2 linked regions of the Caenorhabditis elegans genome follow. The protein of the gene in region 2 purifies or fractionates together with the protein of the main gene of each other region. This does not show direct contact. Each region holds a gene or a part of one and is shown on either strand. Other genes may lie near its edges.

Region 1 (4,206 bases), on a different chromosome or scaffold from region 2:
ATAGTTGTAGACCATAGGCAGGGTGATGCAGAGCTGTAAGAAGGGAACTTACAGAAAATTCTATATATTTAATTCGAGATTTCTAAGATCCTTACCGAGAAAACCGCTACCACTGAGAAGGTGACAGCCGAGTAGGCAACGAAGCGATAGGCATTTCTTCTAGTAATTTCGTCCATGATGATCAGAAGATGCCATTCCACCAGTTTCAAACCTCCTTTTATACCATCTGTTTACAACCACAACACCTCCCCAAAAGGAGGAAGAGGAAGTTTTGTGATTGAGTCCTTGACAATTTCCCACCGACACCACACGTCGTAATTGAAAGAACTGAACGAATATCATCTGGTTCTTGTGATAATGGGACGGGAGGTAATAACTTCCTAGTTGTGGCGCTTCCTCTGGGAACGGCCTGCCGGAGAAAAAAGACAGAAAAGTTGCGAAATTTTCGCGACCTTGAGGTTTTACTTTCTTTGACGAATTCAATTAACAACTTCAAATTTCAAATCATTCTTTATCACAGACAATAAATTAAATCAACCGGTGGCACATCAATTTTTGCATACAAAAAAAGCAATCAATAATTCGGACAAATCGTCTTGTCATTCTCGCTGACCGGCTTCGCCTCCTTGAGCAGGTACTCGTCATACAAACCGTCGCGAGTAATCTCTTCTGGCGCACGGTTTCCGTATTTTTTCATGAATTCAACAACTTTCTTCTCGTCGACCGAGTTCATTTCCAGCCGTGATCCCCATCCGACAAGGGCCAGTGGCTGAAAATAGGAGTTTAGGCTTGAGATTGGGCTTAGGCTTAGGCTTAGGTATAGGCTTAGGCTTAGTCTTAGGCCTAGGTTTAGGCTTAGGCTTTGGCTTAGGCTAAGGCTTAGGCTCAGGCTTAGGTCTAGGTTTAGGCTTAGGCTCAGGCTGAATCTTAGGCTTAGGTATAGGCTTAGGCTTAGTCTTAGGCCTAGGTTTAGGCTTAGGCTTTGGCTTAGGCTAAGGCTTAGGCTCAGGCTTAGGTCTAGGTTTAGGCTTAGGCTCAGGCTGAATCTTAGGCTTAGGTATAGGCTTAGGCTTAGTCTTAGGCCTAGGTTTAGGCTTAGGCTTTGGCTTAGGCTAAGGCTTAGGCTCAGGCTTAGGCCTAGGTTTAGGCTTAGGCTCAGGCTGAGGCTTAGGCTCAGGCTGAGGCTTAGGCTCAGGCTGAGGCTTAGGCTTTAAAAAAATTGTTTCCAAAAACTTATTTTTAGTTGGCATACTGAAAAAAAATTGAATTTTTTTGTAGTTTTTTTGTCTTTTTTTTTTTGGTTTTTTTGGAGAAATTAGAATTTTTGCTTTTCGTTTTTTGGTCAAAATTTTTTGCAACAGCCCTGTTAGGCTTGGGCTTAGGCTTAGGCTTAGGCTTAAAAAATTGTTCTTTTAAAATTGTTCGTTTTTAGCTGGTATGATAAAAAAAAGTCGATTTTTTTTGTCATTTTTTGGTTTTTTTTTTTGGGAGAACTTTGACTTTTTTGGTCGAAATTTTTTTGCAACAGCCCTGTTTGGGTTACATTAGGTTTTGGCTCGGGTTTAGGCTTAGTCTCAGGCTTAGACTTAAAACATACCCTCTCTGCCGTAAGCTTGATATACGGCGTAATAACGTGACGATAGATACATGACGTCACCAGCTGCCTCAACTTGTTCAGCTCGTCCAAGTCGACACACGGATGGTACAGGAGCACAATTGAGCCGTGCTCCAAGTTATGAAGCCACCGCTGAACAGGTACGTACAGGTATTCGCCGAAGCGGGCCCAGTTTGGACGGTGGTCTCCTCTGAAAAATTGCTTTGTGATTAGTCAGGCAATGATGAGCGCCCGACATCTCTCGGGGAACCACATGACCTGTAGGATGTCGGGCGCTTCCTTTTGTGAGAAGAGATACGTCCAACTGAATAATGTTAGCAACCGACATCCCCGGGGTTTCGGCATAAAAACGAAACTCGCTAGATGTCGGGCATTAACATCGAGAGGATATTGTCCAGATTAGCGTCCGACATCTCCCGGGTCTCCCTATGAACCTACCGAATAGGAATTCGATCCTCATAATCAATCGTCTCATCCATACATCTATGCATCACCTGATCCTTTTTCGGGTCGTAAGAGCTATTTTGCTGTACCATGTCGAAAAACTCAGAATCGATATCCTTCTGCACGGCATAATGAATAGAATTCAGACATGTAAATGCGCTGAAATCCTTAGAATCCCAATCCTTGATGAGATTGGTTATTCCGTCGTCGCAAGTTGTCAGCTTACCCATTACTGCGCCCATGTATCCAAAGGTGATGTGGGGTAGAATGGAGAGGATTATGAGGAGCCTCATCTGGAAATAATTGTTATCTAAGAGAATGTAGGAAAAAAATTGAATTTTGGCAATATTTTATTAATGTATAATTTTTAAATAGCAATAATGCTCGAAAAGCCCAAAAAGTTAGAGTTTGTAGCTTTAAAGGGCTGTAAGTCTGTAGGTAAAACATATATCAAAAAGTTGTCAACTAGTAAAGTGTAGGAAATTAAATTTGCAATATTTTGATAGTTGATCATTTTTAAATAACAACACTGATTGGGGAGATAGGAGGGTTTGAAGTTTTAATTAGGGGCTACTTTCAATAGAGTGTGTGGCTTTAAAGTGCCATAAGTCTGTAGGTAAAACAGATATCAAAAAGTTGTCAACTAGCAAAGTGTAGGAAATTAAAATTTCTATACTTTACTAGTTACCAATTTTTTAATAGCAACACTGATTGGGGAAATAGTAGGGCTTAAAGATTTAATATGAATGTCTGGAGGGTGGGTGCGTTCAGTAAAGTGTGTAGCTTTAAAGATCCATAACTCTGTACGTAAAACAGGTATCAAAAAGTTGTCAATTAGTAAAGTGTAGGAAATTAAATTTGCAATATTTTAATAGTTGATCATTTTTAAATAGCAACACTGATTGGGAAGATAGGAGCGTTTGAAGATTTAATATGGCCTGCGTTTAGTAGAGTGTGTGGCTTTAAAGTACCATAACTCCGCAAATAGAAAAGATATCAAAAAGGTATCAACTAATAAAATGTAGAAAATTAAATTTTCTACACTTTAATAGTTAACAACTTTTTAATAGAATCAAAAGTCAAGGAGATATTGAAGTTTCAAAGGGGCACAAAAAATAAAATAAAATGGAAAACTGAATGCTATTTGTTGTCGGGAATCTATATAAAACTTACAAATTTCGAGTTTTCTCACTAAATATTTAAGAAAAAAAAATTTAACTCTTCAAATTCCAGAAAATAGCATATTTTTATTTTTAAATTGAATTTTTTGGAATTTTTTTTTCTAATATTTTTTTTTGTTTAAAAAATTAATCTCGCAATATTACTGCCACGTCGTCCAAAAAAAATTGCCAAATGACTGATAAAAAGTGCTTATAAAATCACAAAATTTATGCAAAATGAAACAATTTAAATTTTAAATTAGGAAAAATGCATAATTTGAGAAATTATAATAACTTTCCTGTTGTGAAAATACCGCTAAAAATGAAAAATGCAAGAAAATCGATAATTTTACCCTCCAACCCGATTGGGGGGAAGAAGGAGGCAAAATGACTTTTCTCCGCTCGTGTGTTTCTCGTGTGTTCCGCGCGGAATTTGACATAAACAAATATTGGAAAAGGAACAACGGCAGTTCAGAAACCTTTTTTGGAAATTTGGAAAAATATATTTTTTAAATTTTTTCTCAAAATTTAAAAAAGTATATAAATGTTTTTTGAAATTAAAAAAAATTTGAATTTTCCACTGTTTTTTACACGGATTTCTGGCTTCCCTCATGAATTGAAATGGAAGAGTTTGCCGAACTAGACCATTTTGGCTCGGCCATTTCTGGGGTAGATTTACGGCGCGTTGCGTGTCGCGCCGCGGCTCGATTGTAAAACTAAATATATTTGTCCGTGTGGAGTACACGACTTTCCCACGCGTTGTCCGGCAGGCGATTGTCAATGGAGCGCGAAAAGTTCAATGAGGGAGGCAAGAACCCCGTGAAAAATTGGAATTTCCGGATAAAAATTTGAAATTGGGCCCGTTTTGTTGGTGTCCAGGAGGGCGCGATTGCATCTTTTATTTTAAATTTGATCCTAAAATTCTAACGAAATTTCGCAAGAAAAAAAAATCTCAAAAATTCAAATTTCCCGCGATAAATTTTTTGA
Region 2 (3,244 bases):
TTTTCGATAAGACTAGAAACTTTGAAATATTTTGATAAAACTTGAGCATTCAAAATTTTCTGAATTATCTAAACAGGTTTTACCAGTTTTCATAATGTTTCCAAAGCTATCGGAAACCTCCTTAAAACGTATGTAGTTTTAAAACGAGCATACGTCTAGTTTTTCAGAGATTTCTGGGAGACTTCGGCGGCTCACCGCACCCACTGCTGCAAATCAGAAAAAATGTGGAGCAAAATGGCTTTTGTTTAAATTCATGAAATTGAAAAATGCCTTCCGGTTATTTACTCGAATTAGAGAAACACGTTTTTCCGAACTAGAAATTTTTTTATAAGGTTTGATAAGTTTTGAGACCAAAATTCTGTCTTTTGTATGTATCCCCTTAAAGTCAAAAATATTGGAAGCCACATATTTATGTCTTCAAACTTTTTTTTTCAAACTAAACACTTTTTAGTTCTACAAACTAAAAAAATAGGAGTAGTGAATACTTCAGATTGTAAAATAAAATAAATTGTAGTATGAATTTCAGATATTTCAGTAAGTTTGTTTTGATAAAGAAGTGTCAAGAAACTAAAAAATTGAAGAATCAAGAAGCGTCCCGGTGAGGACGTCACTCTCACAAGAAGGGGAAAAATGAATGAATAACAATGTTTAAGTGTCCGGGTGGACGAAGGAGACGCGGTGTGTCCTCAATGCGCCCTGAGCATATAGAGAGAGATATAGAGAGAGAGAGACAGTGCTAGAGACACAGACAACTCGATAGAAAAAAGTGGTACATAACAAAAAAGGGCAGTAAGTAACAAACATCTGTCTCGATGATTGTTTCCCAGCACAAAATTGGACGTACCAAGTTTACACGAAGAGGATTCAAACCATTGTCCTCTGCATTTGTCCAACAACTGGTTGTTAAATTCCCACCTGCCGCCAATGAGAGGAGCTTACTGTTTATTTTGATAATTTAAACAATTCACATCACTTACAAAATTGTTTTATTTTTACTAGGAATTAGAATTGACTGAGTACATAGTAGATGCAAATGATTAAAAGTGTTCAAAATGAAATTTGAAAGTAAATGAGCCATTCATTTGTAAACGAGCAAAAGTGAAAACATTCGTAAATGAGCGTCAAAGGGATTGAGCCATCGTAAGGGATTGAGCGTTCAAGTAAATCAGCACGCTAGTAAATGAGTGTTTGCCCAGAAGGCATATGTAGATGTAGGCTGGTAACAAGTAGGCAGGTAGGCCGGCAGTAGGTATGAATAGAAATAATTTCAGATATTCTGGAAGTTAGCATAAAAAGGCACAGTGTGGGTGTTTTAGGCAGACAGGCGTGAGGGATGCCAACGGAATACATAGGTAGGCGAGTAGGCCGATACAAAAACATGGAGGTGGGCAACTAGCACGCAGTAGGCAGGAATAGCCATGATGTAGGCATGTAGGCAGCCAGTTGACGTATTAAGGCGTGAGTTAGGCTGGTATGGTGACAATAGTCATAGTAGCCAGAAAGTAGGCAGGGATACGCACACCCACCTCGTGCCTACATCTGTCTACTTCATACCTCGTACACGTAAAAAATTTATCTAATATTTTTCCAAGTTTTTCAATTTAAAAGATGCTGCGGTGAAATCAATTTGAAAATTCAAAACGTGACCTTTTGCAGTTCAAAAAGATAAGATCTTTGAATATTTGATATATAAACAGGGGGAAAGAGTAATTAAAATATTATTCAATCGAACAATGTTCACCAACATCTCTCTGATGTCTCCCATCGCCAAGATTGCCATCGGACTTCTTGTCATCCTCTGTGGTATTTGTATTCAATCTCCGCTTGTGTTCATCATCAAGTTTCAGCCCATTGCATTTCTACTGTTCCCATTGTGGAAAGTCGTTTCTCACTGATGATTCTGTGTTGTGAGGGCACAGAAAGAAATTATCCAGTTTTTCAACCTGTGGCGTGGATGAATAGCTCATGACCGAAGCATTGCCAATATGCATTGGATGATGAGTTAGTTCGAAAAAAGCATTTATAAATATATATATAGTTATTGTTCGAGCAGGTTTTCGATAAAGACCTCGAAACAAAGGCATTGCATATGACATGTCAGGATTGGAAGAATTTATGGAACTCTATGTCTGATGGGGCAGGTCTAAAGGCTGATCAATTGTTGAAAAAGTTCCATAGCAAAGGACAACCATTTGCTACTATGAGTGAGGCGACTAAATTAAAATTGGTAAACTTCAGCTACAGTTTCCAATATTATAACTCCATTTTTAGGTAGCAGAATGGTATTATTTCAATCCGGCTCAAACGAAAATTGCGTTTATTAAGAATCACTGTGGTGGTGAAAGAAAAGATATAGTTCTCCTCGGTCCTTGGTGAGTGACTCCAGATACCAGAATCATCTTTTTTTATTATTTCAGGGAAACATTCAAAGACAATCATTTTGTGTACGGAGAACCAGGAACCAAATGCCCAAGTGAATATCCAATTGACGACATGTGCGTTCCCAAAAGAACCAATGGAACTCTTTAAATGACTGAAATTGTATTTGAATGAAAGTTTTGAAGAAAGCGTTTTTGTTTTTGATTCTGGCAGATTCGAAATTGCATGTTACTTCATACTACACTGGGCCTCCATCATATTTAATCAGAGTTTGTCCAGTATGTGGAGCGTTTATATATTTTTCTACTTATAAGTTACACAAGTATACTGTATGAGATTTATTGTTTCAATTCTTTTTTCAGTAAGTTGAGTTATCATTTTGGAATGAACAGCTTTATAGATTCGCTGCTTTCAATTTTTAAGAAAAATTTGAATATTTTTTCGAAAATTGGTGGTTTGGGTTTATTGTAAGTTTTTTTTGAGCAAAATAACCCCCACGAACTTCTTTCTTTTTCCTCTTCTTCTTTTTCTTTCTTATTCTTTAATTGATAAATTAAAAATAAATTTATTTAAGATCAAAACAAGTTTTTTTTTAACATGAAAAAAAACGTTCATTTTCTGAAATTGACTCCCATATTGGGCGCATTGTATATCTCACGGTTTTCCAACCGTGAACCCCCACTCTTTATAAAGGCGCACATATTTTCGCATGTAACAAAAAATTGCCGTGGTAAGATCAAGTATCGTATTTTAGGCTTAAAATCGCTGGATTATTTTACTAAAATTCATAATACAGTTTGACAAAAAAAACTTCAAAGAAAAGGGAATAAATTAACTTCGGGATTTTTAATTAAAAATTATGGTG

Evidence for each region. Proteins that work in one complex are often made in the same cells at the same time.
Region 1: the proteins of B0041.1 (region 2) and Y41C4A.8 fractionate together in Caenorhabditis elegans (co-fractionation; one large-scale study listed by BioGRID). This does not show direct contact.

What each region holds. Positions count from the first base shown.
Region 1 is NC_003281.10:11,706,469-11,710,674, forward strand, and holds Y41C4A.8 (DUF3105 domain-containing protein), read right to left. Parts: upstream 2,355-4,206; 5' UTR 2,353-2,354; coding exon 2,054-2,352; intron 1,806-2,053; coding exon 1,598-1,805; intron 770-1,597; coding exon 575-769; 3' UTR 501-574; downstream 1-500. Other genes in the region: col-96 (Nematode cuticle collagen N-terminal domain-containing protein), read right to left, coding at 1-33, 96-176.
Region 2 is NC_003279.8:4,662,782-4,666,025, forward strand, and holds B0041.1 (SCP domain-containing protein), read left to right. Parts: upstream 1-1,726; 5' UTR 1,727-1,803; intron 1,804-1,847; 5' UTR 1,848-2,001; intron 2,002-2,053; 5' UTR 2,054-2,089; coding exon 2,090-2,227; intron 2,228-2,271; coding exon 2,272-2,372; intron 2,373-2,417; coding exon 2,418-2,529; 3' UTR 2,530-2,567; downstream 2,568-3,244.